Nothobranchius furzeri: one gene and its partners. The protein of the gene in region 2 interacts with the protein of the main gene of each other region in a biochemical or structural test. Links are inferred from orthologs where the notes say so. Each region holds a gene or a part of one and is shown on either strand. Other genes may lie near its edges.

Region 1 (8,821 bases), on a different chromosome or scaffold from region 2:
ACTTGTAGGTAATATTATTGTTGTCCAACAGGGTGGACTTTTTAGATTTGTGGCTCTTTTAGTAAGACTTGGCTCATATCAGCATTAGCTCCTTGGTAGTGTTAGCTACAGCATGCTGCTGCAGGGTTGTTTACTGTAGTTGTAATACCACTTTCAACCAGTAGGGTAAAAGGCAGGAAACTGCTCTGTGTTACTTTAATTGTGTGACGGTCACATCACCGCGCACGTTGCATAGCTTACGGAAGCAGGAAACATGGCACCTAAGCAACACAAATGCTCGAAAGTTTGGTCACACTTTAAAAGAAAGGATAACAACAGGGTAACTTGCAATAACTGCATAGTAGATATTTCAGCAAGGGAAGGAAAAAGCATTTGGGCACAAATTACGCCAGTTAATGACGTGTTTTGACTCGCTCCAGACTAGTGAATATCAACACAGCAGCAGCGGTGACGTTCGCAGGTCCTCTACTGTTAATACTGCAAGTAACTAATCAACTAACACTGCCTATCACGTTAGTGTCATTAGCCTTATCAGGGTTTTTTCTGGCTCAAATTGAGGCAGAGGTAGTACCATCCTGACCATGCACCAGCACATGCATGCTCTGTGCATTCAACTGCCTCACTTTTTTAAAGGCCAAATATTTTTTCGTTAAGTGTTCTAATCTAAGCTTCTGTTGATTAATAGAATATTCCATTTGACGTTTCAAGTGAAACAAAACTGGTTTGCTGCTAAAAATATGAACAAAAATAAAAAACAACAAAATTATCAGGCTGAAATATGTTTATGTTTATTTATTTGGCAGATGCTTTTATCCAAAGCGACTTACAATTTATAACCTACAGGGCATGTTGTGATCTGTGGGGGAAACCGGAGTACCCGGAGGAAACCCACGCATGCATGAGGAGAACACGCAACTCCACGCAGAAAGGCCGCAGCCGAGTTTCGAACCTGCAACCTTCGTGCTGCGAGGCAACAGTGCTAACCACTGCGCCACCATGCAGCTCAGACTCTTATTATAAAAGGCTCAATATTATGCATTAGATTAGTGTTTAGTTCAATTTTTCCCATCTGATATTTAGAGTTAAAATATTTTTAAATATTTGAACTACATTTCAGTAACATTTTAGATTTGTATTAATAACACTCATCTTAGTCAAAATAACACATAAAAATATAATGAATTTCATTAACATGCATTTGTATTGGAAATGGTAATAACATTACATAATCAATTTCCCTCTGGGATTAATAAAGTATTTTTGAATTGAATTGAATTTCTGTTGCTAACAATGTAATGGTGGCATGTCTATTATGTACGGGTTGGCAACAATCCAGTTTAAATTATGTTCAGAGATAGAGGCGTTTGTGAATTATATACTACAACGGCTTGCCGTACTTCCTGCGCCAGCAGTAATCAAATCAAAGATACTTTATTAATCCCAGAGGGAAATTACTCGTATCTGCAGCGGTTCTGATCCGTAGCGCTGCAGGATGCAGAATAAACAGGACGGTGGGGACTTTTCATCCGCTTGTAGAGTTGTCTTTCTTAGTTTTACCATCATCATATATTTTTCTGTGCACCACTTGATCGTGAGACTGCTACCCTTTAGCTTTAGCAATAGCCAATCTGCGTGTAGCTGCACTTTTGATCCCAGACTTTGGACCGGTTCTGCCTTTGCTGGTTCCTTCATTTTCCTCCACTGCATCCAGATTACCACACTGTGTGCCAGTAAAAAGCATTTTTCTTACACGTAACTTACTTTTGTTCAATGATGTTCTGGGGAAAATAGTAATTCAAAGATGTTGCACCAGTGCTACGTTTACAAATAGACAAGACACGCACAGACAGTTGTTTTCGTGGCACTGTACAGCCCTGCTCTGATATGGAAGAGCCTGGGGGAAGATCAGGACGTCAATAGCACCAACCATAGATATGTAACTAGCGAGAAAAGCCATTTTTGATCTTTGTCTGCAGCGGTTTTAGGGCTTTTTGGTGCACCGCTGCCGATACAGCGCACGGGTAGTGGCGCAACGCTGCAACTGCAGTTAAAATAACATCTACCGTAAATCCTCTAATATTAGCCTGTATTTAATTAAATTATTATATTTTGGCCGGTGTCTGAGTCAGCGGAGGTGAATAATGGCCGGTTTTTATTGTGGCCGGGTGGAATGTGGTAACAAGCAAGTACGGGGCCGGTTGTGTCATCCGTCTCACTTTTGATTTGCCAGTGATAGACCGCGAGGGAAACTTTAACCGTGCGGAGACGAAGAGGAGGCGAAAATTTGATATCAAGTTCAAAGAGAACGTGCTGATTATGCTGCAGAACACTCTGGGGAGCAGTAGCAGGGGTTGTATGAACTAGTCACTAGTCAACTTCACCACTCTATAGTGACTTGTTATGCCTGTCATCGACTAGTCGCTGTCACATGATAATGACCGGCAAGATGCAGCCCTCGGAAAAGACAGCAGCCTGCTGTCAGCAGGGGACAAGCTCCTGCTCGTCGGGAGGCAACGTGCTGTGCCAGAGAGTCGGTACTGACACCCACCGTAAAACGGACATTTAACCAAATTGCGACGTTTACCCTCTTGCAATTTAACCTTCCCCTCACCCCATCCTAACCTTAACCAGCTTGTGCATGCAAAGCTCTGATTGTTGACACGCTCCAGACATCTGCGTCCTGAGCACGGCCACAGTAACATTATCAAATCAGGTGTCACCACCTCAAAAACTAATTTAACACGCGATCGTTCATGTTGGCTCATATCCTTTTATGTTTTCTGTCTTTTATTTGTGCCTGATGCGTTTCGCTGCTGTGGAGCGGGGCACATCACCTGTTTTGTCCTCGGTGACGCACCTAACTGATGTGGCCGGCGAGCAGCGAGAACTCCGCTGTTTTTGCGGTCGGTAGATCTTTTAGAACTGCAGTTCAAAGGTAACTCATAAGGTGAATATATATGAACCCAGGTAGCAGTTTTTCTTTAGGATTGAGAGGAGATGCAAGAAGATAATAAGCAGGCAGGACAGAAAAATAGTCAAATAAAAACAAGTTAGTTTTTGTACCTGGTGGTTGCAACAAACAGACACCATTGAAGGTAATCAGAAGTGAGGAACAGAAAATGAAATAATTATTTTAATGTTTAGAGCAGCAGGAACTCTGAGAGGCTGCAGGTGCATCAGTGAGTTTGCGGCCGCTGCGCAGGGGGAGGGGGGAGAGGGCTGAAGCAGAAACTACCGTTGTTAAAAGAAATGTGTTTAACTTTGAAAATGTGGGCGCAATTTTAATTGTCAAAAACTCCAGCGAACCATTAGTTCATTTTGCTCAAATAGAAATTGAAGCCTGCCTCTAATTCTGGCCCTCCTTCCAATAAAGCCCTGGAGCTTGATGAGCTTGAGTCAAATACAGGCCCGGGCCTGTATTAGAGGATTTACGGTATATAGCTGGGGGCAGAGAGAAATCAGGCTGAGGCAGCACACAATTAGCTGGAGGCGGCCGCCACGCAAATTTGAATGCAAGAAAAACCCTGCTTATACACACACACACACACACACACACACACACACAACTCCACACTAGCAGACTCCAGCGACAAAGGTCTGACCTGTAGTGAGATTTTTCCCACTCGGCATATGCTCCAGCAACACTGCACCAAACAAGATGATGACGTTGCCTCCACAGAAAGCATTAAGGAGAACATTTGGAAAGACATTTCTAACTGATACAGGTACAACTGATTATTTATCATAAATAAACCGTCAGTTATAACACAGGAGGCCGTGTGCTATTAGTTTTTTGCCACCTTTGGAACTACCCTGGAATTCATAAGGGAATTGATAAAGAATTAAATCATACTGACTTACATAGGAAAGCAGGTCAGAGATGGCACAGGCATTTTGATAAGCTACATTACACGCCCCAAGCAGTCTATATCCACTAACAATGAAAATTTGGTTTAAATTTTAGCTACCATTTAAAAACAAACACAAAGGCTTTAATTTAGTTATTTCTCACCAGTCCTGACTCTCAATCCAGGGGGCGAGGAACTGCCGTAGCTCCATAGGGAAGCTGTCACTATACAGGTGGTATAGTTGCTCCAAATACCTGGTCTCCAGCTGCTGTAACTGGTTCCACTGGGCCATCCTGACACACGCAGTTTCTAAGAGAAAATGCAGAGCAGAGCAGAATGCACATACAAGATGCATTAAGTGTTTTTAAATGCCTTAACAGAACTTCCCTCACGTTTACCAGCAGGAAACAGCCAACTGTCGCGTTTACCCTGAAAACAAAGTCAGGAAAATGTGAAGCCTCCTATTCATTCTCGTCACTTCCTGCTTGCTGAAACGCTAGACTTCCGCCAAGAAATACAGGACGTCCTGAACAGCTGTCAGCTCTCGAAGTAGAGAGAAGTTAATAATCTCAACCAATGTTTTTTGTATAAAGGCTTACTAGAAACAATGAAGAAAAAAACACACTTCCTTTCCTCAGCTGTCAGCGACAGAGCACATGGATCAGAAACTACAGAACCATTCCTGTCTTTAATGATTAACTTCACATTGCATTTCTTAGAATTATAATGCAACTTCAGATCAGATCTTTCATTTACCTTGTTACACAAGGCTTTTATCTGACCAAAATGAGGTTGCATGGGTCCCTGGAGGATTACTGTCTTCTGCACACCGACAAAAAAGGTATTCAGTGAATCCAGCAGAGCCGTCTTCCCTGTCATGGAAATTAAATACCAAAGCAAAGCTTTTGTTTAATGCTTACATTACAAGGATAATGTTACGGTATCACCTAAACTCTGGTGAAGCACACAATCTTAACTTGTACAATGAGCTTGGCAGTATTTGTATACACAAGCTAAAGCAGAGCTAGTGTAACAGCCCTTCTGTTTGGTTTCATGATGCGATCCACTAAATAAAACAGCCGTAAGTGTTGATAAAATTGTAAACGATAAAACTTGGGACTTAATATTCTGTCAAAATCTTTCATGATTCAGCATATTTAAAAGAAACAGAAACATTTAATAATTTATTCCATTCAAAACACCCAAAACATCAGCATTATGTAGGTCTTATCTGACAGCACACACGATTAATAGTTTCATCGTAAATCTGTGTACATTAGGCCACGTGACTTGGAATATGAAGGGAGGCTATTCTACATTTAGGCGTGACTCCTTTGTAAAAGCTAAAAAGAATAAGGTCAGCGATATCAGCATCACCCTGCGATGGACTGGCTCTCTGTCCAGGGTGTACCCCGCCTGATTGCTCATTGACACCCCCCCCCCCCCCCCCCCCCCCCCCCCCCCCCCCCCGAGACCATATGTGGACAAAGCGGGTTCAGACAATGGATGGATGGATGGATATCAGCATCACCTGTTTCTGCCAAATTTAAAGGTCAATGGAAAAACAGTGTTTCATAAGCTTTCATTTTATCCTTTAATACGCTGAAATTCAAACATGTTTTGATACAGTAGTTAATACGCTGTAATAAAATAAGAACTGAGCTAAAAAGGTGTTTTTTAAGCATTTGTGTCACCTTATATAAGTTCACATCACACATGCTCCTCTTTCACTGGTATATGAAAATGATGCTAACACATGGTGAGAATTGCTGAGGAAGTGAAACCCCAACAAACGTGACATCACAAGAGGATTGCCCATGGTCAAATCAATGGTACTGCTTTATTTAGAAAATTTTGAACAAACGCCCTACCTTCTTACCTGCTATCCAAAAAGAATAAATGCTACTGGAGTTATCTCTCTCATGTTTTTGATGATTTAATTATGTTTGGGGAGGGTCCTGGCTGTATAATCAATTATTCAGTGTCTACAGTCACAGAGGAGACACAGTAGTGCTTGATTATTTACTTCTTTTGTTTAGCTAAGAAGGTAAAAACAGCCAAAATTTTCTGTAAACTGATGCACTGGTGAGTCCCAGGACTGTGCCCTTTGTTTGGTGGATATTTTACAAAGACCTTTTGCTGAGGTCACACACATTTCACATGATACATGATAGGAACCTTTTGAAGATGCTCATGTTACACAAAGCTACACACAGACAATGATTTGGCCTAATTTTGTCAGTATCCCATCATATGAGTATTTTCACACTCCAGACGGGCAGAGTAGGACTTCAATATTCAACATGACTCATAAAAAAAAAATTCTAATCTTGTTAGGTGTGTTTTGTCAGTGAGCATTTACCACTTACGGTAATGCACAATGAGATTCCTTAAAACAGACAAGCCACATTCCAGGAAGTAGAGCTCTCCACAAAAAAAAAAAAAGAAGCAATCATGCCAAGTTTGTCATTTTACTGACAGTTAACAGGCAGGACACTTGCGGGTTATTGGACACAATAATAATGATGATCATAATGGGTTTTCTTTTTCAGTTGTAACATCATCAAACTAAAATAGTAAGTGTCATTAGTCAATACTACACTTTTCTTTTCTTTTAATTTTGAAAGTGATCATGGATCTGATCCTGTTATGCAGCTCTGCACATGATGGGGTGAAGATGAGCGTGACAACAACGACGGCTTATAACAAACACTGGCCTGGAATTTTATGGGGTCATATTCATATCCTGGAAGATGCTCTTTCTCTCTTTTACTGTTTTTTTAATTTTTTTTTGTTTTGTTTTACCAACAGATCGAAATTACTGATAAATTGAGCCAAAACACATTATTGAAAGTAAACAACAACAACAAAAGAAAAAAAAACAACTATTCAAGACTGAACGTCTTAGCTGTAATATTTTATATCGGAAATAATTAATTAAAAGCAGTAAGGCAATAATAACTTTGCTATATGCCATAGCGGAACACAATGTTTCTGCACACAGAATAACTTATGACCAGCACAAATAGGCGTTTAGCAGCGTTCAGCTGGCCAAGCCTTTTATATCATGGCCATTAGTAAATATAAACTGATAACGGGTTTACATAAAAAAAACATTCACAAATAAAGATGGAGTAAGTTAGTTTGAATGCAGTCGCTTACCCGAGTCGTTGTCACGTCTTTGGAAAGATTCTCCGACAAAAACCCGAAAACTGTTAACTAAAAGTACACTGAAGGCAACACTTAATTTCTTCTAAAACGGTAAACCCACATAAACGAGAGAAAACACTCACAAAAGATGCCAACCTTTACTCTTCCCTTAACAACACGAGAAACACTTCTTCAACCCTAGAGCCAGTAGCCCAACCCATCAGCCGCTCTGCAAGTCTTTTCAGCCAATCAAACGCGCTTCTGTTGTTGATTGACATTCCAAGTGGCAAATAGCAATATAGAAATTTCTGTTAACCAAATCAGAGCAGATGTGTGACGAAAAGATGCGCGGCGTAACAGCATGTTTGGTTGAGTGCTATGTTTACTGCTGTCGCAACTGGGCTGTTCCTCTTAGTCCTCCCTCCTCGGGGTTTTCCGTTCAAAGAACAGCATGTTCGGCTGTTACGGAGGGAGGAAAGGCGTTTGAAAAGAAGAGCCAGCCTGGAAGTCATCTGAGTTACTGGCAATGCTGACGTCACCGAGTCTAATAACACATCTGCAGTTTAGTGTTAATCCTAACGGGACAAAAATAATTAATACAAGTGTCCAAACGTAATCAAACTAAGTTTATTTAAAATAATATTTATAAATGACACACGTGTGGATAAATGGATTTATAGATAGATAAAACAGTCAACAAACCTTAAACTGGTGGATTATGTAATAAGCGTTTATTAATATTGAACCTGTTTGGCCAAAACACCTTGAGTCTGGCAGGTACAGTCAGTGACATCAAGGCCATACGCCACTTACAGATGCAACAGTGAAAAGAAAAGAAAACTGAATTACACCGCTGCAAAAACACATTTAGGTAATGGGAGATCGTTTATATATCTGTCAAAAATCAACACAAAGATAAAGCTATAAAATAAAAATGATAATCTTACAAGCATATAATTTATTTTTATGTAAAGATAACAATTCCCCTTGGTGTGTTGTAATAGTTTGCATAGACTTGTAACACGATCACACGCATGCTTTCTTTTGTCTTTCTCACTGCTTAGCTTTCACAGAGAGAGAGAGAGAGAGAGAGAGAGAGAGAGAGAGAGAGAGAGAGAGAGAGAGTAAACACTTTCCTTAATTGCATTTCCCCATCCATTGATTATTTGGGTGGTGTTTCCTCTGCCACAATGCTTCTGGGTGCCTGCAAACACATCAAGGTCATAGAAGTCTGCAGGGAGGAAGAAACAGAAGCACTCCTCTTGTTTCTGTCTGGAGCCTTGCACGGTTTCCTCTCATGATCTAATGTGACAAAGGTTGAACGCTGCCACAGGCAGTTGACTTCACATTCAGAATAGATTACCGTAAGAGATGTATCCTCCCATTATGTTTTGCTCTTTATCTGACAAGAAAAAACAGTTTGATTTTATAATTTATATGCAGAGACGTTTGGTTAAACCAGTAGCGACATTCGTTTCATTATCACTGCAGGTTGCTGTACAGTTACATTGCTGTTGATATTAGTCCCATGATAATCCTAAAACCCCAACGATTGGCTGTGTCCACTAAACTGGATTTAAGATAGTAGATGCATTTTCACATGTTTTACTCTGGCAGTCATTTAACTGCCTTCTCCTCTTCAGGCCATTCTCTTTTTGTAAGCAATTATATTGAACATTTTTATCAAGGATGTGCACATGTACTGTGACGAGCTGTGACCATGGTGACAGATGTTCTTCTTTTCTCTGTAGAAGTGACTTGAATGCATGCTGGTGAGCTCATACTGTATATAGATGCATCAAAAGACCATTTTTGAATGTGAA
Region 2 (11,406 bases):
CCCAGTTAGGTTTGGAGTTTAATGGATGCATCCATCAAGTCGTTTTACACAAAGAATAAAGTTTAAAGCAAACATTGATATGGATGTGTAAGCTAGTGAGTTGCGGTGGATGGCTGCTCATCCTGAGCCAGGTTCTGTTGAGGTTTCTTCCTGTTACAGGGAGTTTTCCTCTCCACCGTCGCTACATGCTTGCTTAGCATGAGGATTGTTGTAAAGTCAGTGACGATGCAATCCGCTGGGTTCCCTTATATAGGAAACTTTAAACGGCATTAGACTTTGGTGGTACTATGGTATTACTGTATACAGCTGGTGTTTAAAAAGAGCAACACTATCAGTGTTAATACGTCATGAACAAAATGTAGTGCATTTAGGAGATAAGGACTAAATATAAAAAAAATATTTGATGTGTAAAACTGACGTGTTGTTGAATTTTCATTTTTAGTTAAATTGTTTAATATGTTATAGTCGACTTTTGGAGACATTCCGTAAAGTTTATGAACATGACGTCATCATGTGACAGCGCGGAGGAGAGAGAGAGAGACGCACCTTAAGAGAGACAGGGAGAGAGATGGCAGGTCGTGCACCTACTGACTCGGTGTCAAAAATAAACACAACTTCTGCTGTTGGAAGTATTTTGGATTCCAAGCAAACGATAAAGGAGAGCCGGTGTTCCGTCAATCCACGTTTCCCTGTCAAAGAGTGTTCCTCGTGCAATAAAGAGGTGACAGCAAGAGATGCAGGTCCCGTCAGCACCGCAGATGAACTCTAGAGAGCTAAAATAACAGCCGGTTTGGAGCCTATTATTCACTTTTCTGGTAGAAATATGCTGCTAGTTTCTTCCCCAGAAGTTGTGACTGGCCCAAAAGCCTGTGTCTGTGCCACAAGCGCACCATCGGAGCAGGTTTTCAGCACCCCAGGCAAAGTTGTTGGTACAGAAGGTGCAATGTTGAATCTGGAAAAGTAAACGTGCAGGTTTTTCTGGCGAAAAATATTATAATGAGCAGCATTTTTTTAATTAAAATGTTAACATTATGCTTAATATGTTTGTTTTTTTTGGTGGCAATAGTGTTGAGATTCAGTTTCTGAACTGTTACAGTCCAAGCCAACACTTTGTTAATGCCACTTGAGTTTTAGGTCATAATTTTTAATTACTCATGGAAATACCGTACACTGTGGTAACACGTAGAGGAAGCTTAACGATATTGAAATTTGGATAACACCCAAGCCTAATTGCCATTATGAACTGAACCCAATTTTACCTTGTGAAGTGCCTTGAGACGATTGTTGTTGTGATTTGGCGCTATATAAATACACTTTTTTTTTTAGAAAAATGTTGTGCTAAAAGTCACGTTTCTGTTTCAGTATGGTGGGAAAAATGTTCTTTTCTAACCGGAGAGGAGAGGAGAGGCTTGCGTTGAACCATATAGGCAAAAATAAATAAATAAAAAATATCACATTGTGATTCTTTTCCAACTCTTGCGATAATGAAAAGTAGTGAAACCTTCAACAGATCACTTAAATAGCACTTTCAGTCGTGCTGCACTCCTGCCCTTTTTTGGATGAATAACCAGTCAGCCTTTTACGTTCCACGGGAGGTAAATTACATCCTTCCTTGTCAAATCGGAGTTTGTTTTGTCAGCATGATACCATCAGAACTGTAGACACAATAAACGCTTTTAGCTATATAACACAGAATATGTGTATTTTGCAACTGTTGCTGTGAAACTCGCACACAAGAATTTCACTCGCATGTACTGTACCAGTGTACCTGCACGTGTGACGTGACAATAAAAGTGATTTGATTTGAAATGCTAAATAATGTCCAGCTCAACGTCTGAAGCGTCCCATCACAGACGGAACACAGCCATCTTGAATAAAAAGATTTTACGTCCCCAAGAGTCAAATTAATGACTCCAATATATTAGTTAGTCCACAACAAGTGTCACGTCTACAGTCCAACATAATAGACCCCTGATGCGTTTCATCCTCATAGTAGCTTCAAACGTTTGATCAACATCTCACCTGATCCAACAGATGAAGGCCCCCCCATCACATCACATACCTACGTTGTGATGCTGACTATCAATCGAAGCACGGAGCAGCTCTATTAGGAACCACCCCCACCCCAATGCTCAGATAAGCCCGCAGATGATTGGGATGCTCACCTCAGGATGACCTCTTCTTTATCAGGGAAAAAAGGTGGCTGCACTTTGCCATTGTGAGGGTCTCTCGGAGGAGGAGGGGGAGGGGGAGGGGACTCCGGAGGATCATCTTCCTCGTTAGAGAGCTCTTTCCACGATTCCTTCAGAAGCAGAAAGCTTGTTTACTAAAAGGACTTCAGCAGAATGCACAGTCATAAAAAGCTCCGAAGAGGAGAGGAAGAACCTGCCTGGAGAGATTTATCTCCTTTGATGTACTTGGCACCTTCGATGACAGCCAGGTAAGAGAAGCGAAGCTGATCCGCAGTTTGGATCAAACCCATTCGATACTGCCGCATCTTCAGCAGCACATCGCGAATACGCACCGATGACGGGTCCTTACGAAGAGACATCTGAACACAAAGACAGCAGTCAGAGTGATTCTCCTCAGATAGGCGACTGCTTTGTTTGTGATTGTCTCACTGCATGCTGGAGTTTATACAAATTATACAAACCAACAAGAGGCAAGTGTCCACAAGGCAGAAGGTCCCAGAGCGTCCGATACCAGCGCTGCAGTGGACCACCACAGGTCCATGCTCTGAGTTCAGACAGCCTGACTCTCGCACCTTGAACAGAAAGTTGAGGAAGGAGGCGGGAGACTCTGGTACCCCGAAATCAGGCCAGGTGGTGTAGTGAAAATGTAAAATCTCACGCGTCTCGTGAGTCTGTAGGGAAAGGGTTGGGGTTAGAAATAAAACCGTCACACGTCAAACACAGCACCACAGATGGAAACCAAAGCCAAGTCGAGATGAAAATAACTTCCACTTGATGTTTCAGCTCAGATCAGCATTAAAGCAAAAACTAGGGAAAAAAACTTCCTTTTATAGGTTAGCATCAAATCCCCTCAGCAGCTAGAAAAGCCCAACTAAACACAGATTTTCAGAAAGGTCCAGTGCTGTCAACAAATCAGTTCATGCTCCACAAACTTCAGCAGCAAAATTATAGATCAAAACCAGGAAGTGATGAGACGTAGGACCAGCTCCTGACATTCCTGCCAAACTGAAAATACGAGTTACAACTATTTAGCTCTGTAAAAATTGTGGATGTAATAGTTAAATTCTTCTTTAGCTTTTATCCTTCCTAATTTGCTCTAAAGCACAAGACACCGTGTATATTTTCTCTGTCTTCATGACTAAATCACGAGTGGCAGAAGGTGTTCAGGACCCACGGGCTCTCAGCGTCAAATAACCTCTTATCTCAGGCAGACAGCTCAACAGAGAGGACTTACCAACAGGTTTTCCAGCTCCAGCTGTCGGACTGTGTAGTAAGATTTGATGTCCTCCGAGACGAGAGTCACCTTGAAGTTGGTGTCTTCAAAGATGGCGTCCTTCTCCTCTCTTTGCGGCCAGTATTGAGCACATTTAATCTAAAACCAAACAAAGGTCATGTGAAAACAAAAGAGTAGCGTGACTCCTGAGTAATGGACACATTAAAAGGTCTCGGTAAGGACAGACGACTGCTTACAGATCCTTTCTCTATGACCCGGTTTAGCATCACCACACCGTGGGTCCTCTGCTCCCAGACCATCTCCCAGAAATGGCCACACGTACTCGGCAGGGGTCCCTAAACAGGGAATAAACCACTCCTTTAAAGACATCACACTTTCTTCTTCGCATCACTAGATAACAATATTAGCACGGGATGAATAAATAACAGATCCAGCCACGTTCTAATCTCCAGGTTTTTACCAGCGTACTGTGATACAGACATACAGAACCACGGCTCCAGCTGGACCCGAGCCACTGCCTCTGATTTTGTGACACGTGCAGTTGTGACAGTTTAGTCCACATCCAGCATTTTAACTACAAGCAGTGATGGCCCATTTCCACCATTTTCAAATAGAAAGCCTGATATATACTCCTCTTAATATTCTTGCTTTTCTATTTGCTGTTTTTCCCTCACTGATCAATCCCATGGATATGCTCTCACTGTGGTATTCTTCCATTTTCCAAATCATTTGTTGACATCATAACTCCAAGACGTGTTACATACAGTAGATGTGTGTCTGTATGTAAAATCATACAGAGGACAGTGAATCTTCAGGATGCTTACCTGAGTAAGAATATAATTTCTCTGAGCCTCTTCAACAGTTATCAGGCTGGCATTGATGTAGTCGTTGGAACCCAGCTGCAGGTGTATTCTGCTGTGGTCAACTGAGGAGCGGGGACAAAAGACAGATAAAAATGTCTTGTTGTTGTTTAGAAGGGGAGGAACAGCCCTACCATCGCAACACTGATGAGAAAAGAGTCATTGAGCAAACTAACAACAGAGGTAACCACCTATCCTTCATATGAGATGTAAATGTGGGCAAAAGTTTCAGGTTCCTCATTTTCACATCTTGTTAGATGTGAATAATAAAAACTAAGTATTTGCAACCCAAGCTGCACAATTTGCATAGCTTATTCAGTGTGAAAAAGAGGAAACCAGCAAAGCTCAGCTGCTGGACTGTGATGGATTTAGTTCTGTGGATAGTAACTATTTTTACATTTTCTAACTTGTATAATTACTGTTGTTTTCTTATTTAAAATTTAGAAATTAGTTTCAAAGAGACAATCCTAACAATTTACAATCTGTCACCTTTGAATTATTATATGGGTATGATAGGAAATACACAATCTACCTGAATTTAAGAATGGTTATAATAACCGAGAGAAAACAACAAACGAGTCTGCTGATGATCAAAGTGTAACTCACATGGGCTGACATCCCTGTAACGGTTTCGAGTCTTGTTTTCAGGCAGTTTGGCATCATTGCATGCGCACTCGCTGGACTGCTGGCGAATCTCCTGAGACAAAATAAAATTTACCAAATAAATTTTAGCAGATTTAGGTTTCACACACTGTGAAAGTGGATCTGAGTGCATGTAGGCCTTACTTCCTAAATTTAATTCTTTAGAAAAACAGAAGAAAAAAAGAGTCTAGACATCACACTATTAACACTGTTAATGCAGGTAAACATGTACACACACTTAAAATTATCATAATAAAGTAGTTACTCATGAGTAGTGATTAAACAGCATTTTAAAACGTGATTAACGTTTTAATGGACACTTGATAAAGGTTTATTAAAGTCAGAACAGATCCGGGCCACTCCTGGGTCCTAGCGAGTGTTGCAGGTATTATACCCGGACAGACACATCAGAACAAGGCTGTACACACCCAGAAAAGTCCCGGTGACTAATAAAAACATTGATTATTATTAATACCTTATATATCTGCTGACTCGTTGTGAGCAGGCCTAAAATGACAGCTTCACCTACGGTTCGTGTCTCCACCTTGATGATCAGCCGATAGTTCCTACCTGGTAAATGGCGCTCCACCTCTCGTTCTCATCGATTTCCAAGAACTCGGCTTCCATTGCTTCCAGTTCAGCTGCCACTCTTTCTTTACGCCCAGCCCAAAACGAAGAACCACAGCTTCCCGGTAATTAAAGAATTAGTAGTGAATCGGTTTCCGGTAGTAGCTGCCCAATCTTCGGCCGCTGTTAGCTCGCATTCAGTGCGGCTGCTTAGATCGCCATCTCGGCCTACTCTTAACGGAAACACGCCGCTAGCTCCTCCTACACGGTGTAGCTGTCGTCCTTGGGTGGCTAAAAAGAGCACAATGTGTTTTGTTTTGTTTTAATTTGCTGCTGTGAGATATCTGTGTAGGATTCACAGCACTTCTTCAAGTCTGGAAAGTAAGTCTGTTGACACAGAATCGTCATCTCACCATTTCTGAAACAGCAGCGACCAACAGGCGAGGACGCGCGGGAGGCATCATATTTCTGGGAAAAAAACGCGTCTCGCTCTTTGGGGAGCGCGCACGCACACTCACGCACTGTGTACGTCATCGCCCCGGCTGCCGGTGAATTTGGCAAGCTGTTTTAACATTTAATATAATTACATTTAAAAAGTAATTTGAACGTCAGTGTAAATATTTCTGTCAAAATGACAATCTGAATTATAAAATCAAAACCAATGATAACCAAAACTGTCACAATATTAAAATTGTGTCTCAAGTTTTCCATAACTGAGACTTTGTCAGGGAAAACAAACTTTTGAAGCAAATTATGTCAGCTTTCCATTAATTTATATTAGGTTATCCCCTTCAGATGTGGCAAACATATCTGTCCATGTCTTTGTCTAGTTCATATTTCCACTGCACAAGTGAGTTGACATTTGAGTTCATCTTTTTAAATGGCACTTTGGTCACAAATAGCATTTTACTTCTACACTGTGCATAGAAATGAGTAACATGTCATAACATTTGACATTGTTTTATTAAATTGTTCTGCATTTCTACTGCATTACTGTTCTTTTTAACACAGCAAGTGTTATTTTACCTTGTTTTTGCATCAGGTAACAACATCGAGTAACAACATCAGGTAATAACATCAAGTAACAACATCAAGTAACTACACCATATAACAACATCCGGTAACAACATCGGGTAACAACATCAGGTAACAACATTAAGTAACAACATCAAATAATAACATCATGTAACAACATCTGGTAACAACATAATGTAACATCATCATGTAACAACATCTGGTAACAACATCAGGTAACATCATCATGTAACAATATCAAGTAACAACATCAGGTAACAACATAATGTAACATCATCATGTAACAACATCAAGTAACAACATCAGGTAACAACATAATGTAACATCATCAGGTAACAACATCAAATAACATCACGTAACATCATGTAACATCATCAGGTACCAGCATCAGGTAACATCAGGTGACATTAAGTAACAACATTATACAACATCTTGTAACAACATCAGGTAACAACATTATGTACTATCATCATGCAATAACATCAGGTACCAACATCAAGTAACATCATGTAACAAAATCAAGTAACAACATCATGTCTGAACATCAGGTAACAACGTCATGTAACAACATATAGTCATGTAACAACATATACTACAACAGCAACAACAACCACAGACTAAAGGCTATTCATTTTACTACGAACAAGTGAATTCTGGATTTTTGTTTGAAAGTTCGTGTCCAACTATTATATGATACATCTGCTTGCCAACTATGTTGTTGGTGGCGCTACTGTGACCCACTGCAGTTTAGTCAACGTTAAATTGTTGGTGTTCAAAGATCGTTCTGGGACATAATATGAGATAATTTTGATATTTTGAACAGACCCGTCCCCGCGGAGGCCGTGTGTTGGTGTGACCTGACGGAGGTCATGATGGATTAGGGCGGTTTGAACTGAGACTTTGGTGCTGCTACAGTTAGTTAGCAAAACAACTTAGCTAGACGTTTTGACTCTGCCCTGCAGGTATAATGCAAATTCTTGCCAAGTTCTTGTGTGTGTGTCGCTTCTTGTTTTGTCTCCCTCTGGCCTACAGGCCGCTTTTGTAGCTGCTGTTTTCTGAAGTTGTGTGGCGTTGGCGTTAGCCGTCAGCTGTTGTTCAGTGCTGCTTTTAGCTCATGTGTAGCTATAGTTATTGCCTCCCAGTGGTGGAAAAAGTGTTAGGATCTTTTCACGGTAAGTTTCATCACCACGATCAAATAAAAATCCTGGTTCTAACTAAATGTACTTGTAGTTTCAAACATGGGTTTTTGTTTGACAAATACGTTTGTTTTATTCTTTTTTTTTTTGTCTGGTTTTAATCAACATATCAGCTTTTAAATACCTAAGGATGGATAATACCTGTTTGTGGACTCTTCCACTGACAGATGTGACATTATTTGATGTCTTTCCTTGTTTTTTTCTTCCAAAACAAAACAACAAACCAATACACACACATCTAATGATTTCTACAGATTCATCAAAAATGTTTTTTCAGTAGTCATGATGGTTCCTGAATAATCTTTAACTAATGAGCCAATGCTAAAGTTTTTATTATTATTATTAATCCAATAATCCGGTGCTTCCTGTCTCTGTTCCTGTTCCCAGATGGCATTGTGGTCTGCAAGAATTCCGTTTATTTGTCTTGATGTATTTATTTTAGGTTCCTGTGGGAGTTTGAGATCTATGACGGATCCTCCAAACAGCATGGCTCCCAAAGACATCATGACAAATTCCCATGCTAAATCCATCCTCAATGCAATGAATTCACTCCGCAAGAGTAACACACTCTGCGACATCACTCTGAGGGTGGACAACGCGGATTTTCCTGCTCACCGGATCGTCTTGGCTGCTTGCAGCGACTACTTTTGTGCCATGTTCACCAGTGAGGTAGAACTTTCTTTTCAGGACTAAAATGTACAAAACAGTTTTTTTTTTAAATATTCACAATTTGGGGGCATTTCCCCTGTTTGGGTTAACTATTACTTGTAACTTAAATGGATGTGTGTGGATTTTATACTGGATGTACAACAAATTTTTCAAATCATTTGATGGGAAATAAAAAGAAAACCTAAATTTATTTTAGGAAGAGGTTCTGTTAAGTACAGTTGTATTGTAGGAACACATGAGTTCATCCCAACATTTGAGACTTTATTTAATATTTACATAATATTAGTTTTACTTCCAACATGCTTCATAAGTAAGAGATGCTGCAGAACAGCACCCTCAGCATCCATGTGTTATTCTGACATGAGATCTTTCAAATCCAACAGATCTTTTTACTTAGTGAGTAAATAACAGAAGTCTACATTTTACCGTTGTGTGTGAGCCAAACAAAACAAAACTTCGGACGTTTGGAAGCCGCACAATGACAGGCCTACAAATATGGTTTCATTTGCAGGTCTTTTAATAATGGTTTATTTTGTTATTTAATGCTTTCACTGGGGATAAAGCTTGTTTTGTTGCTATAACAGGCTGAAATATGTAGACATTTTGACCTGGAACAGCTTGCTCCAATGTGTTAAGACAGTTATTTCTAACTCACAACCAGAGAGGGCTACTTCATCAGAAATCAGGTCAGTCTTGCTTGCAACTGATTCAAAAGTAAACAGCACATCAATAAGTTTTAATCATCCAAGAGTCACAGCAATGCTACTAAATGAAGAAAACGGGCGTAACACAGGAATTTCTCCCATTTTCATCGTATTCATCTTATCTGGAGAAAACAAAGCTTACGTTCTTTAGATAATAAGTTGTTGTCATCATTAGAAAATGAGCACAGCACTTTTTCAGATAACTGAACAGTCGACTCTTGATCTGAAGGAAATCCCATCAGACCTAAAAATAGCTGCTATCTGCTTCCATGCTAAGTGTTTAACTTTTCATGAAGCTGCATTTGCAACCATTGCATCTAACTGAATGAAAACACTGTTTGCTGCTCCATTTATAAACGTTTTTACCAGCTGATGTTAATAGATTCTGTTTTACTTGGATCCATCTCTTAGTTAACAAGATACTTTAATTATTCTGCTCCAACCTGGAGGGAGTGTTTCACCTTTATACGGTTGAGAACAATGACATCGGTCTTAGAGGAGCTGATTCTCATCCCAGCCCTCGGCCCCCAGCTGTGAAGCATGCTAGTGCACGCTAAAGATCATAGCCTGAAGATGCTAACAGAACCACATCATCTGCTGTCACCTAAAGCAGAGATGAGACCCAAACCACTCGACTGCGATGTGAGCTTCCGTTCATGAAGATTGCTGACAGGATCAGACACCAGTCCTGGTGGAGTCTAGCTACTCAGGCAGCGAGTCTTTATCATGCTGCATCATCAGAGATCCTGCTGCAGGGTGTCATTCAGGACGTGCCTTTTATTGGCAGGTTTGATAACTTGTTTTCAGAGCTGTCAGCTTGTGGGTGGATTGTTCAGACTAACACTGGACCTAAAAATCCCTCCTAGACACATTTGAACATACTAACTGTTGCAGGATGGATCTCTCCTCAGAGACAGTGTTTGTTTAACGGAAACCCTTTTGCCCCTCTAAATGCCGATATAATTACAGGGCATAAATATCCTTGTAAGGGAACAAAATCAGAAAAATGCATCTGGAGTTTTTTTTCTCTCTTTTCTACCTTAGAGCAGGGACTCCCTAAGTGTGGTGCGCGAGCTGCCGCTAGGGGGTGCGCGAGGTGAAAAGTGTAATGGCTGCGGAGCTCAGAGAAGTCTGTCATATGTCACCATTAGCGTAGCCAGAAACTCCTTTGTGGGTGGGCCCAATAAATGTAATTGGAAAACAAGTATATTTTGCTTGTGTGTGTGTGTGTGTCCTCCGCATGTGCCCTAGCTTCATAATAATGCGCCGAGTTTCAGCGCTCTGGCTTGCGCACGCTGTCAACAGCAGGATATGTTCAGTATTTGATCATTTTTAACGGTGTTGGAGGAATCTGAAGGTGGTGAGTCATTCTGGCAGATTGTAATTAACACCTGTCTCATGCAGGTGTTCTGAAGTTGTAAACCTCACACACACACAGAACATTGTAGATGTAACAGAATAAATCAAGAAATGATTCCCATCTGAGCATTTTAGCATTATTATATTATTATATTAGCACACTGACTGTGGGACAGCATTCTAAATGTGTCAGGCTGTTAACAGCACGCTGAAGGTCTGAAGTTCAGAGTGCGTCTGTCAGAGGTCAGACGCGTTCCAGCGGAACCACGGCTCACGGGTGCACATGTGAGCACATCTGGGCTGGGCAGAAGTAATTTTACAACATTGGTTTGAATAGCACCAATAACGAGACGCGGTGACTGGAGCGGCGCATGGAGCTGTGCCGCACGCGCGCGCACACACACACACACACACACACTGATTCAACAAGCGCACGCTGCGCTGTGCCGTCAGACTGAACGCAGAAATGAGCGCTGCCACTTCCGTGATAAAAAAAACTTTTAAGAGGTTTTATAACAACATTTTTCATTCAAGGTCATATTAGCTTCCATTTTGGGATGACGTATTAAAGTCGAGTCCGCTCCAGCCAGTGACTCTTCATGAACCTGACCACAACACCCGTTACTGCAGCATTTGTTATTCCAGTCCACTTGGCAGCGAATCGCAGATTCAGCCACCATAAAACAGCAATAAGTCTGTCTGAGGCAAAAGTGAACCTCATGGCTATAGCTTTTCCATCTTTTCCCATATAGACATTTGATTACGCACAAGTAGGTGGCCAGTTCAGGTTTACGCAGAGCAGAAGGAAGGAGAGAGCTCTGGTTAAACAGTCCTGCTTTAAGAAAACCATTAAATTGCATTGTTTATGTGCTACCTGGGCACTCTAAATATTGATTTAAAATTAAATATAAGGAAATTGTAATGGTATTGAATGTTTATTAATTACTA
Region 3 (8,831 bases), on a different chromosome or scaffold from region 2:
ATATTTACTATTTATGTACCAGGACTCATCTTCTAAAGTATTCAATGAGACTTTTTGTGCTCTTCGTTTTATTCATTTATTTCTACACATTGATCTGACTTTACAGAGGGAAATGACCTTTGATACAAGTTTTCTGTTCTTGAGGAGAGAGTAGCGAGCGATCTGTGGCTGATGAGTAAAAACAAGACAAAAAACATTCAGGACTGAAGCTGCGTCTAAATCGGCTGGCGACACGGCTGCATTTCTAAATAAAAGCATGTCATTTTGGCGGCGTGCGCAGCCGCAGCTCACGCTGGTTCCGCGTGAGATATTGGCGGTGTGGCATGAGAGCGTGTGAAGAGGGTCAATGCTGAGAGTTGGCAGCCCTGCTTAATGGTTGACTATCGAACATAGACCATCTGGTTAACTCTGGTGGTCAGAGGTGGTTTTGCAACAACAGGACTAATTTTTCAGCTGCTGGGATGGGGCAGCAGTAGCTCAACAGGTTGAGCGGGTTGTCCAGTAATCAGAAGGTTGCAGATTCGATCCTGGCCCCGGATAGAGAATTCTGCTGTTGTGTCTTTGGGCAAGACATTTGTAGTCAGAGGGACCGGTGGCGCCTGTGCTCGGCAGCCTCGCCTCTGTCAGTGCGCCCCAGGGAAGCTGTGGCTACATCATAGCTCATCACCATCAGTGTGTGAATGTGTGTGTGAATGGATGAATGATACACTGTAGTGTTAAGCGCTTTGGAGTCCTTACTCTGAGAGGCGCTATACAAGTGCGGGTCATTTATCATTTATGTTGGTTCACTGCTGACACGTTCTAGCACCATGTTCAGAGTAAATGAGCAAAACCTCCCTGAACCGTCTACAGGTGAGAAACTATACTATACTTTTATTCTGAACATCTCTGAATGCCCCATGGAGTATTTTTTATATAAAATATTCCATATTCCAACTCTAAAGCTGTTATGGTGAATCTGCAAACAAGCTAGGTGTTGAATGCAGTCACAGAACGCTCGCCCCTCCCCTCGGATATTTTCACTGAGATGCTTCTCCTGGATCCGGAAACCCACATTGCCAGAGGACCAAGAGAGCACTAAACACCAGGTCCAAACGTCTTTAGTTCTCCGTGACTTCAAATAGTATTTTTCTTTTTGGGACTCTGGTAGTTTGTCGTGAAGTTGAAATGGTAGCAGCCGGCTGTTTCTCTTCTGCTATTATTGAGTGAAGAACCTCAAACACCAGTAGTTGTCACAGTCTGAGGTGAGTGGTTACCACCTAACCTCTACAGCCCTTTTTAAAAGACACACACTGCCGGAAAATCTGCATAATATTACCGCAACAGCGTGTCTTATGAACGCGCCATGCCAGCATAGCGTTGCACTAATGTTGCGGCATTCGTTCTGCCTTGCTTGGTAGTAATATTGCTGTAATTGTCTGTCTTATAAACGGTGATTGAGGTGTCAGAGGGAGGTGTCCCGATCACATGGGGAGTTATTGCCCAGCTCCGGCTGGAAAATAAATAGAAAATGAAAGTAAATACGAGCCGTGAATTCCCCTTCTGTAAACAGAACCAGCTGAGATGTTAAACTGAAGCAATGCAGCTCTCCAGGAGCTTCTTTCCATTAGAGCTGGAACTAAGATCACCAGAGACTGCACAGGGAGTGGTGATCAGACACCTTTAGGAGCTGCTTGTTAAAAGACTTAACGAGCACGACTTCAATCGTAATAAAAAAAAATCAAGTTATGTCCAAGATAAACGGAAGTCCGCGGCAGCGCAGAGATCGCCCCATACCCCCTTTATACCACCATTGCATAATGCTAGTAAAAAGGACATGATTGCACAACTGTACCGCCACAGTTATGGCCACTGACCACTTATAAACAACATAAAGCTCCCTGATGCCGCCACGGCGTTGCAGCAAATAATGGCATTGTTTTGTAAAAACGGCTTGGGAGTGCTTGATTGCAGGTGGGAGAGCGGGCCCAGCTGCCAGTTTGCCAATCACCGGGTCTGGCTATTTGAGGAACCAGAGTCTTAATAACAATACACAGGTCACCGGATGATAACTCGCTTTTGGTGCCACCAAGCTGAGAGTCACCTGCCACCTTTTTGAAATGACCTAAGAATCGTTCGACTTCCCTAACCTCTCTTTACTCTCCAGGTATTCCAACCATCACCAACAGATCAACGATAACCTCCCTGATCCACACTCAAACCCTGCAACCAGACCTTCCAGCGTTCCACCACTCATCCTGTCTGGAAATCTAGAACCAGCCTCGAGTGCCCCTTCCTGCACAAGCTCTACCTACAACCACTGCCTTGGACTGGACCTCTTCCCCTCTCGAGCTCAAGACCATCTACAGAACTGTAAGCCTTAGCAACATATTTCCTCAGCCCAGCGAGTCACTCTTCTGGAGCCAGAGCCTCAGCATTCCTCGCCCCAAGTCGGTGGCACTCCATAAGTTGTCCTTTAGTAAATGTTATTTGATTTATCTCGTGTTGTGACTGGTTCATCACGTCTTAGGTCAACAACCTTAAGCCCAACCTGACAGTGGTGTTCTGTTGCTGAATATGTGAGTGTTAGTTATGGCTTGAACTGGGGGGGGGGGGGGGGGGGGGGGACCAGAGAGAGAGAGACATAGAGACAGACAGACAGAGAGAGAGAGACAGACAGACAGACAGACAAAGAGAGACAGACAGAGAGAGAGAGAGAGAGAGAGAGAGAGAGAGAGAGAGAGAGAGGAGAGAGAGACTTTGACTTTTAAATTATTTAAATTTCTTTACAGATCAACAATCAGTGTTAATGACTGAAACTTGTTTTCCACTAATAAAACCAGGAAAACTGAGAAACCCAGTTTAGAAGTTGATCTTTAGGGAGCCCTGTCCATCCAGCAGACAGAGCACCTGCCCGATCCCCCACACCGCTCTAAAGGAGTCCAGGTTCCCAGTAAGTTCATAAAAAGCGTGTTCGATCTTCAAGCGAGCTTCCACCAGGCCCTTCAGGCTCCGCTCAGCATCAGTCCAGCTCTGTCCCAGCATCTGGTTTTTCCTGGTTTTCCAGATGGCTAGTTTTGCACATGCAAATAAAAAGTTAATTAACAATTTTGTCCGTTTTTTCTGACACTGTACTTGGGCCCGAAAACAAATAACGGAAGGGTAAAAGCCTCCCCCAGTGCACTAACCCACCGTTCTAAAACCCTGAACATCCCTGATAACCTAGAACATGCTACCACTAGATGCTCTAGGGTCTCTGTTTGGTTACAAAAAGGACATCCCTCCCCGGTGCTTGGATCAAAGTGGGCTCTGTGTCTGTTCGTAGCTAAAGCTCCATGTATGATCCTCCACTGGAGGTCTGCCATCCCTTTTTTCCACTGGAGACTTATACAAAGTCCTCCAGCTGCCCCCAGGGGCACGGTCCGCAGCAAACACCTGAGTCCACCTCAACTCCTTGACTCCTAACAAGGAGCGCCTATTGATAACCTTCACACAAGTGTGATAGATCTGTTTCTTCCCACAAGACTGGAAGGAGCCCAACACTGGAGAGTTCAGGTTCAGCAGTAATCCACTCTCCTCCTGCCATCCCTCACCAGCTGCTTTAACCTCCAGAGATGGAAAAACGTACTCACTGTCATCATCCCATTGGTCAGATAGAGTACAAGTCTCAACGAAGGCTCTCTGCGACACAGACAAGGACCTCCGTACCTCCTCCACCACTCTCTCCATCACTCTGGTGGACCTCACATCAACCCGCTCACCAAGGGTTCCAGCCGGGATCTTCAGTAAGTGGCCAAACTTTACAATCCCAGCATCGGTGAACTTCACTTTCAACGAAGACGAAGTTAAAATGCCAGCTTGAGAGAAGAAGTCATTGTCAAACAAGGGTTCTTGTAGCAACCATGTCCCTGGTCCCGTGTCAGGTGCTCGGGAAACCGCCAGCAGCTTAAAGGTGTCCAGCACTGATGAGTAGAACGGACTAATCCTTGTCAGATCCAACACCTTCCGATTCAACAGGAACAGGTGTTTGTTCAGCCCAAGCCCACCAACCTTCTGCAGCAGGAGATGAGCCAGGGGGAGCCAGCGGAGTCCGTCACCATAACAAAGCTTCTGAGCTGTCTGTAACCTGAAGGCTGCAGTTCTAGACACCACGTCTATTAGTCCTTGTCCTCCCTCTGACACGGGTAGGCAAAGAGCCGAAGCTCTGATCCAGTGGTGACCAGACCAGAAGAATTTCACCAACAGCTTCTGAACACCTTCCAGCAGACGGGGTGGTGGAACCAGTACAATCAGTCTCTGCCACAGAAACGAGGCGACGAGGTTGTTTGCTATCAGAACCCTGCCCCTGTAGGACAGCTGAGGGAGCAGCCATTTCCATTTAGACAACCGCGCCTCCACCTTCTCCAGCACCTTCTCCCAGTTCTGTTTCTGAAACCTTTCCCTACCCAAGTACATGCCTAGTGTTTTAATACCTCCCGTTCCCCACCTCAACCCTTCTGGCAGAGGCGGGACATCACCAAGGTCCCACCCCCCACTACACATGCCTCACTCTTGTCCCAGTTAACCTTAGCTGAGGATGCTTTCTCATGTAAACGTAAACTAGATCTGAGTTCTTGTACATCCTGCTGATCATGGATGAAAACATTCACATCATCTGCATAAGCAGACACAACTAAGGGAGGACTGGAGTCAGGTAAAGGTAGGTGTACACCTTTCAGCCTGTTCCTCAGCCGACACAGCAGCTGTTCAATGGCTAAAATATACAGTTGTCCTGAGATGGGACAACCTGTCTGATTCCTCTTAGAACTGGTGGGTTGGCTCAGGCCCCCCGCTACCTTCACCATACAGCTGACATGACATGACAGCATCTTAATCCCTTCCAGGAAGGACCCCCCAACACCAAAGGCCTGTAGCGTAGAGAACAGGATCTCATGATCAACCCTATCAAACGCCTTTTCCTGATCAATAGAAATGATACCTGCGTTTACATCATACATTTTACAAACATCAAACACATCTCTCATTAAAAATAAATTGTCCATTAATGACTTTCCTGGTATACAGAAGGACTGATCGTCTGGGATTAGACCTCTGATGAATCCCCGAAGTCTATTAGATAGGAACTTAGAAAAAATCTTATAGTCTGAACACAACAAGGAAACTGGTCCCCAGGTTTTTAGTTGGGTTAAGTCCCCTTTTTTCGGCAGCAGGGACAGAACGCCCCAACTACACGATGCAGGAAGTGCTCCTGTCTGAAGTGAGTCTCTAAAAACATCCATCAGGTCCTGTCCAATACTGCTCCAGAAGAATTTGTAGAAGTCAGCGGGTAAGCTGTTCATCCCCGCAGATTTACCTGCAGCCATCTGGGAGACTGCCGTTGTAAGTTCCTCCATGGTTATGTCTGCATTTAAGATTCCCTGGTCTACTGTGGTCAAGGAAGGAAGCCCCTGCAACAGCTCTCTGGCACAGTTCACATCACATGGGGCGGCCTTAAATAGGCTGGTATAGAATTCTACTGCATGCTTCCTCATCTCCACTGGGTCTGTGGATAACTGTCCATCTGACAGACGCAGGCCAGCCATTTGTTTTTTCTGGTTTGAAGTCTTTTCCAGGTTAAAAAAGAAGGATGTCAGAGCATCCATGTCCTGTATTGTGGTGAGACGAGCCCAGATCAAGGCGCCTTTGGCCCTCTCTTGCAGGAAATGCCCAAGCTGCTGTCTTTTTTTGGTCTAAGGTGTGCTGTTGTTGAGTAGTAGTCTAGCACCCTGATGTCCTTCTCTAGATCTGCCATAGTCTTTCTTATTTGGTTTGTAGACCCCCGCGTGTAATGTTGACAGAAAACTCTAATTTGTGCCTTCCCTTGTTCCCACCATTCACTGATGGTCTTAAAATCATTCTTTTGGACCGCAAAGCCTCCCAGAACAGCTTAAAAATGTTGCAAAAGGTAAGATCGTCTAATAACTTTATATTAAAGTGCCAGTAGGATTTTGTCGTCCCCAACAAAATGAAGCATCAGTTCAGTTAGAGAGGAGAGAGAGAGAGAGAGAGAGAGAGAGAGGGAGAGAGAGATCCTTAGGCAGTGTTTGTGAAACAGATCCTTTGGAATTTGATGGAAAATAACTCAACAAGCTCGAGCAAATGCCTTATTCCACACACACGCACACCTGCACACACACACAAACACACACACACGCACGCACACCTGCACACACACACACAGTGCTATCAGCTGCTCTGCTGAGCTGACTGGCCAGGTCTGCTGGAATGAAGCCACCAGACCCTGGCTGACATTGGCCTTCATGCAAACAGCCTCCCGGAAGGGGCGGGCTGCTCCTTTAAACCCGCTGGAGCTTCATGTAGGCCAAAGACAAAGAGTAACATGTCACCACCAGCACATATCACACACCGTGTTACAGTAATATGTGTGGGCTCACATGATAACATCTTAATTACTGTAGTGCTATGGAACCGGGCGGCCCGGGCCCAGGCTGTTACAACCATTAACATGGAACACCGGAGCAACGACTGGGAACACCAACATGCGTCTGACATACTTACAGGGATAGACATTTTGCTGCAGCTGTCCTATTGCGCCTTTTCCTGCCAGTTGCGTCTCTAGCGGGTTTTATGCACAGCTGCGCTGGCGTCAGCCGTTCGTGGATTCCATGGAAAAGACTCCTGGTAGGAAAGGAAAGCTCCCAGCGGGAGGAAGAGGTCGGGATTTGTCTCAGTCCAGCTGGACTGCTGCGTAAAAATGCGCCTCAGAGGCGCAGATCTGCAGCAGCGGTAATGCGATCGTCCGTATGACCCGCAGACTTGACGGTTCTCGGTCCTCCCTCAAGTCACTCTGCCTCGGACTCACCCCCCACGGACGCGCGGCTATAACAGCTGGAGCATGAAGCAGCTGCGGCTGGAGGCCGAGCGGAGCGGGTGGAGCACAGCTGGCTGCTACCGTCCGCCCACCACAGGCTGGATCCTGTCCGCTTAAAGGGCCCGAGCCCCCCTCCCATCCACCATCTTTGTGTGGTTTGGGGCTACTGAGAGACGGGAAGCTGATTAAGAAGTTCTGTCCTAGCATGTCCCCTTGACCCAGCTGGGGGTGGGAGAGAGGACTCTAGTGAAAATAACATCACTGTTGGACAGTGTCCTCCATCCCATGCATGAAGCTGGTGTGGAGCTGGAAGCTCCTTCAGTGCCAAACTGCTGCATCCTAGGTCCATCCTCCCAGCAGATGTTGGACTTTATAAACACCAGTGCTCCCAGCAAAACCAGTAAACAGTCTCTTGCATTCCTTCATTCCTGCTGCTTTTATGATTTCCTCCTTCCAATTATCCTCTGTCTGCTTCTTTTTCAGCACATCCTGAGCTCCTTCAAAGGAGTCTCCTACCATCTTTACGCAGATGACATCCAACTGTACATCTCCTTTAAGCCCCATGAGATGTCTAAGCTGCAGCTGTTACACACCTGCTTAGACTCTATCAAAACCTGGATGGCTGGGAGCTTTCTACAGCTGAATGAAGATAAGACTGAGATCCTCATCTGTGCCCCAAACAAGCTGGTTCCCAAAGTCAGAGACTCTCTTGGTCAGCTTGCTTCTCACACCAAACTCTCTGTCAGGAATCTTGGCATGACCTTTGACCCAGTTCTCACCCTGGATTCTCATGCCAGTTCTCTTTTTCGCTCTTCTTCTTCCATCTCAGGAACATTGCTAAGCTGAGTCCCATTCTGAACTTGAGACTTCTCCACACCTTCATCTCCTCACGCTTAGACTACTGTAACTCTCTTTTCACGTGTCTGAGCAGAACCTCCCTGAACCGTCTACAGGTGGTTCAGAATGCCTGTGCTCGGCTTCTGACCAAGTCCTCCAAACACACCCCCATCTCCCTGCTTCTCCTCCAGCTTCACTGGCTGCCAGTCAACTTCAGGGTTCATTTCAAGATCCTGGTTCTGGTCTATAGGGCCTTACATGGACAAGCACCATCTTACATTGGTGATCTTCTTAGTCCCTACACCCCCAGCAGGTCCCTGAGGTCCAGTGATCAAAGCCTACTGGTTGTGCAGCACCAGGCTAAAGACCAAAGGTGACAGATCATTTGCTGCTGCGGCCCCCAGACTCTGGACCTCTCTCCCCCTGAGATCAGTGGACTCAGTGGTCTCCTTTAAAAAGCAGCTGAAAACTCACCTGTCCAGGCTGGTTTTAATGTCACCTTCTGCTGAATCTTCACTAGTTTCTCTTCATGCTGGTGTTTGTCAGTTCTTTTTCATGTTCCTGTGATGACATTTTCTTTTTTATTCACATTTTTCTGAACTGTTTCCCATTTCTCCCATTTTTATTATATAACAATATATATTTAATTTTTTTTCATTTATTTTATTTTCTTGTGAAGTGCCTTGTAGTTTTTATCTAGAAAAGCTCGATACAAACTTTCTTCTTCCATCAAAGTTGGCTCCATCTTTAATCTCTCTGCTGGATTTCATTATTTTGAACGATGGTGTCAACAACGATGCCTCTTGTTGGGAGAAAAGACAAGTCCTTCCAACATCATTTGGTCGTCTTTCAACTGTAGAAAAGGGACCAAACACATTGATGGCGGTTACATCACTTACAGTTAGTATGATACATGCTATACAGCGAGAAAAACTTACCTGTGCTCTTCTCCCTGATGATGCTGCCCACAGACCATCTGCTCAGACTGGGATGACCTCTGTCCTGATGTCCCATGAACGACATAATGGAGAATCCTCCTCCCCTTCCTTCTAGGCCATCACCAATCACATGGACTCTTCCTCATCTGCCTCTCTGGACAGATGAGCCACTGGTGAACTCTGAACTTTAACCTACACAGTTGGTC

The links. The genes of interacting proteins can lie anywhere in the genome.
Region 1: of the proteins of ptpn1 (region 2) and stat3, one has a biochemical effect on the other in vitro, tested with the Homo sapiens proteins (2 studies listed by BioGRID and IntAct). The link is inferred for Nothobranchius furzeri from reciprocal best matches to the Homo sapiens genes PTPN1 and STAT3.
Region 3: the proteins of ptpn1 (region 2) and bcar1 form a complex in vitro, tested with the Homo sapiens proteins (3 studies listed by BioGRID and IntAct, with this or other methods). The link is inferred for Nothobranchius furzeri from reciprocal best matches to the Homo sapiens genes PTPN1 and BCAR1.

The regions. Positions count from the first base shown.
Region 1 is NC_091745.1:6,841,381-6,850,201, forward strand, and holds the start of stat3 (signal transducer and activator of transcription 3), read right to left. Parts: upstream 7,152-8,821; 5' UTR 7,011-7,151; intron 4,721-7,010; 5' UTR 4,605-4,720; intron 4,278-4,604; 5' UTR 4,204-4,277; coding exon 4,013-4,203; intron 1-4,012. UniProt on the Homo sapiens protein: Signal transducer and transcription activator that mediates cellular responses to interleukins, KITLG/SCF, LEP and other growth factors. Once activated, recruits coactivators, such as NCOA1 or MED1, to the promoter region of the target gene.
Region 2 is NC_091755.1:52,044,613-52,056,018, reverse strand, and holds the start of ptpn1 (tyrosine-protein phosphatase non-receptor type 1), read right to left. Parts: upstream 5,772-11,406; 5' UTR 5,556-5,771; coding exon 5,499-5,555; intron 4,984-5,498; coding exon 4,893-4,983; intron 4,352-4,892; coding exon 4,251-4,351; intron 3,762-4,250; coding exon 3,663-3,761; intron 3,565-3,662; coding exon 3,427-3,564; intron 2,864-3,426; coding exon 2,654-2,863; intron 2,552-2,653; coding exon 2,390-2,551; intron 2,303-2,389; coding exon 2,166-2,302; intron 1-2,165. Other genes in the region: kelch-like protein 12, read left to right, coding at 7,645-7,702, 8,169-8,395. UniProt on the Homo sapiens protein: Tyrosine-protein phosphatase which acts as a regulator of endoplasmic reticulum unfolded protein response. Mediates dephosphorylation of EIF2AK3/PERK; inactivating the protein kinase activity of EIF2AK3/PERK.
Region 3 is NC_091754.1:40,233,912-40,242,742, reverse strand, and holds the start of bcar1 (breast cancer anti-estrogen resistance protein 1), read right to left. Parts: upstream 7,152-8,831; 5' UTR 6,550-7,151; coding exon 6,538-6,549; intron 1-6,537. UniProt on the Homo sapiens protein: Docking protein which plays a central coordinating role for tyrosine kinase-based signaling related to cell adhesion. Implicated in induction of cell migration and cell branching. Involved in the BCAR3-mediated inhibition of TGFB signaling.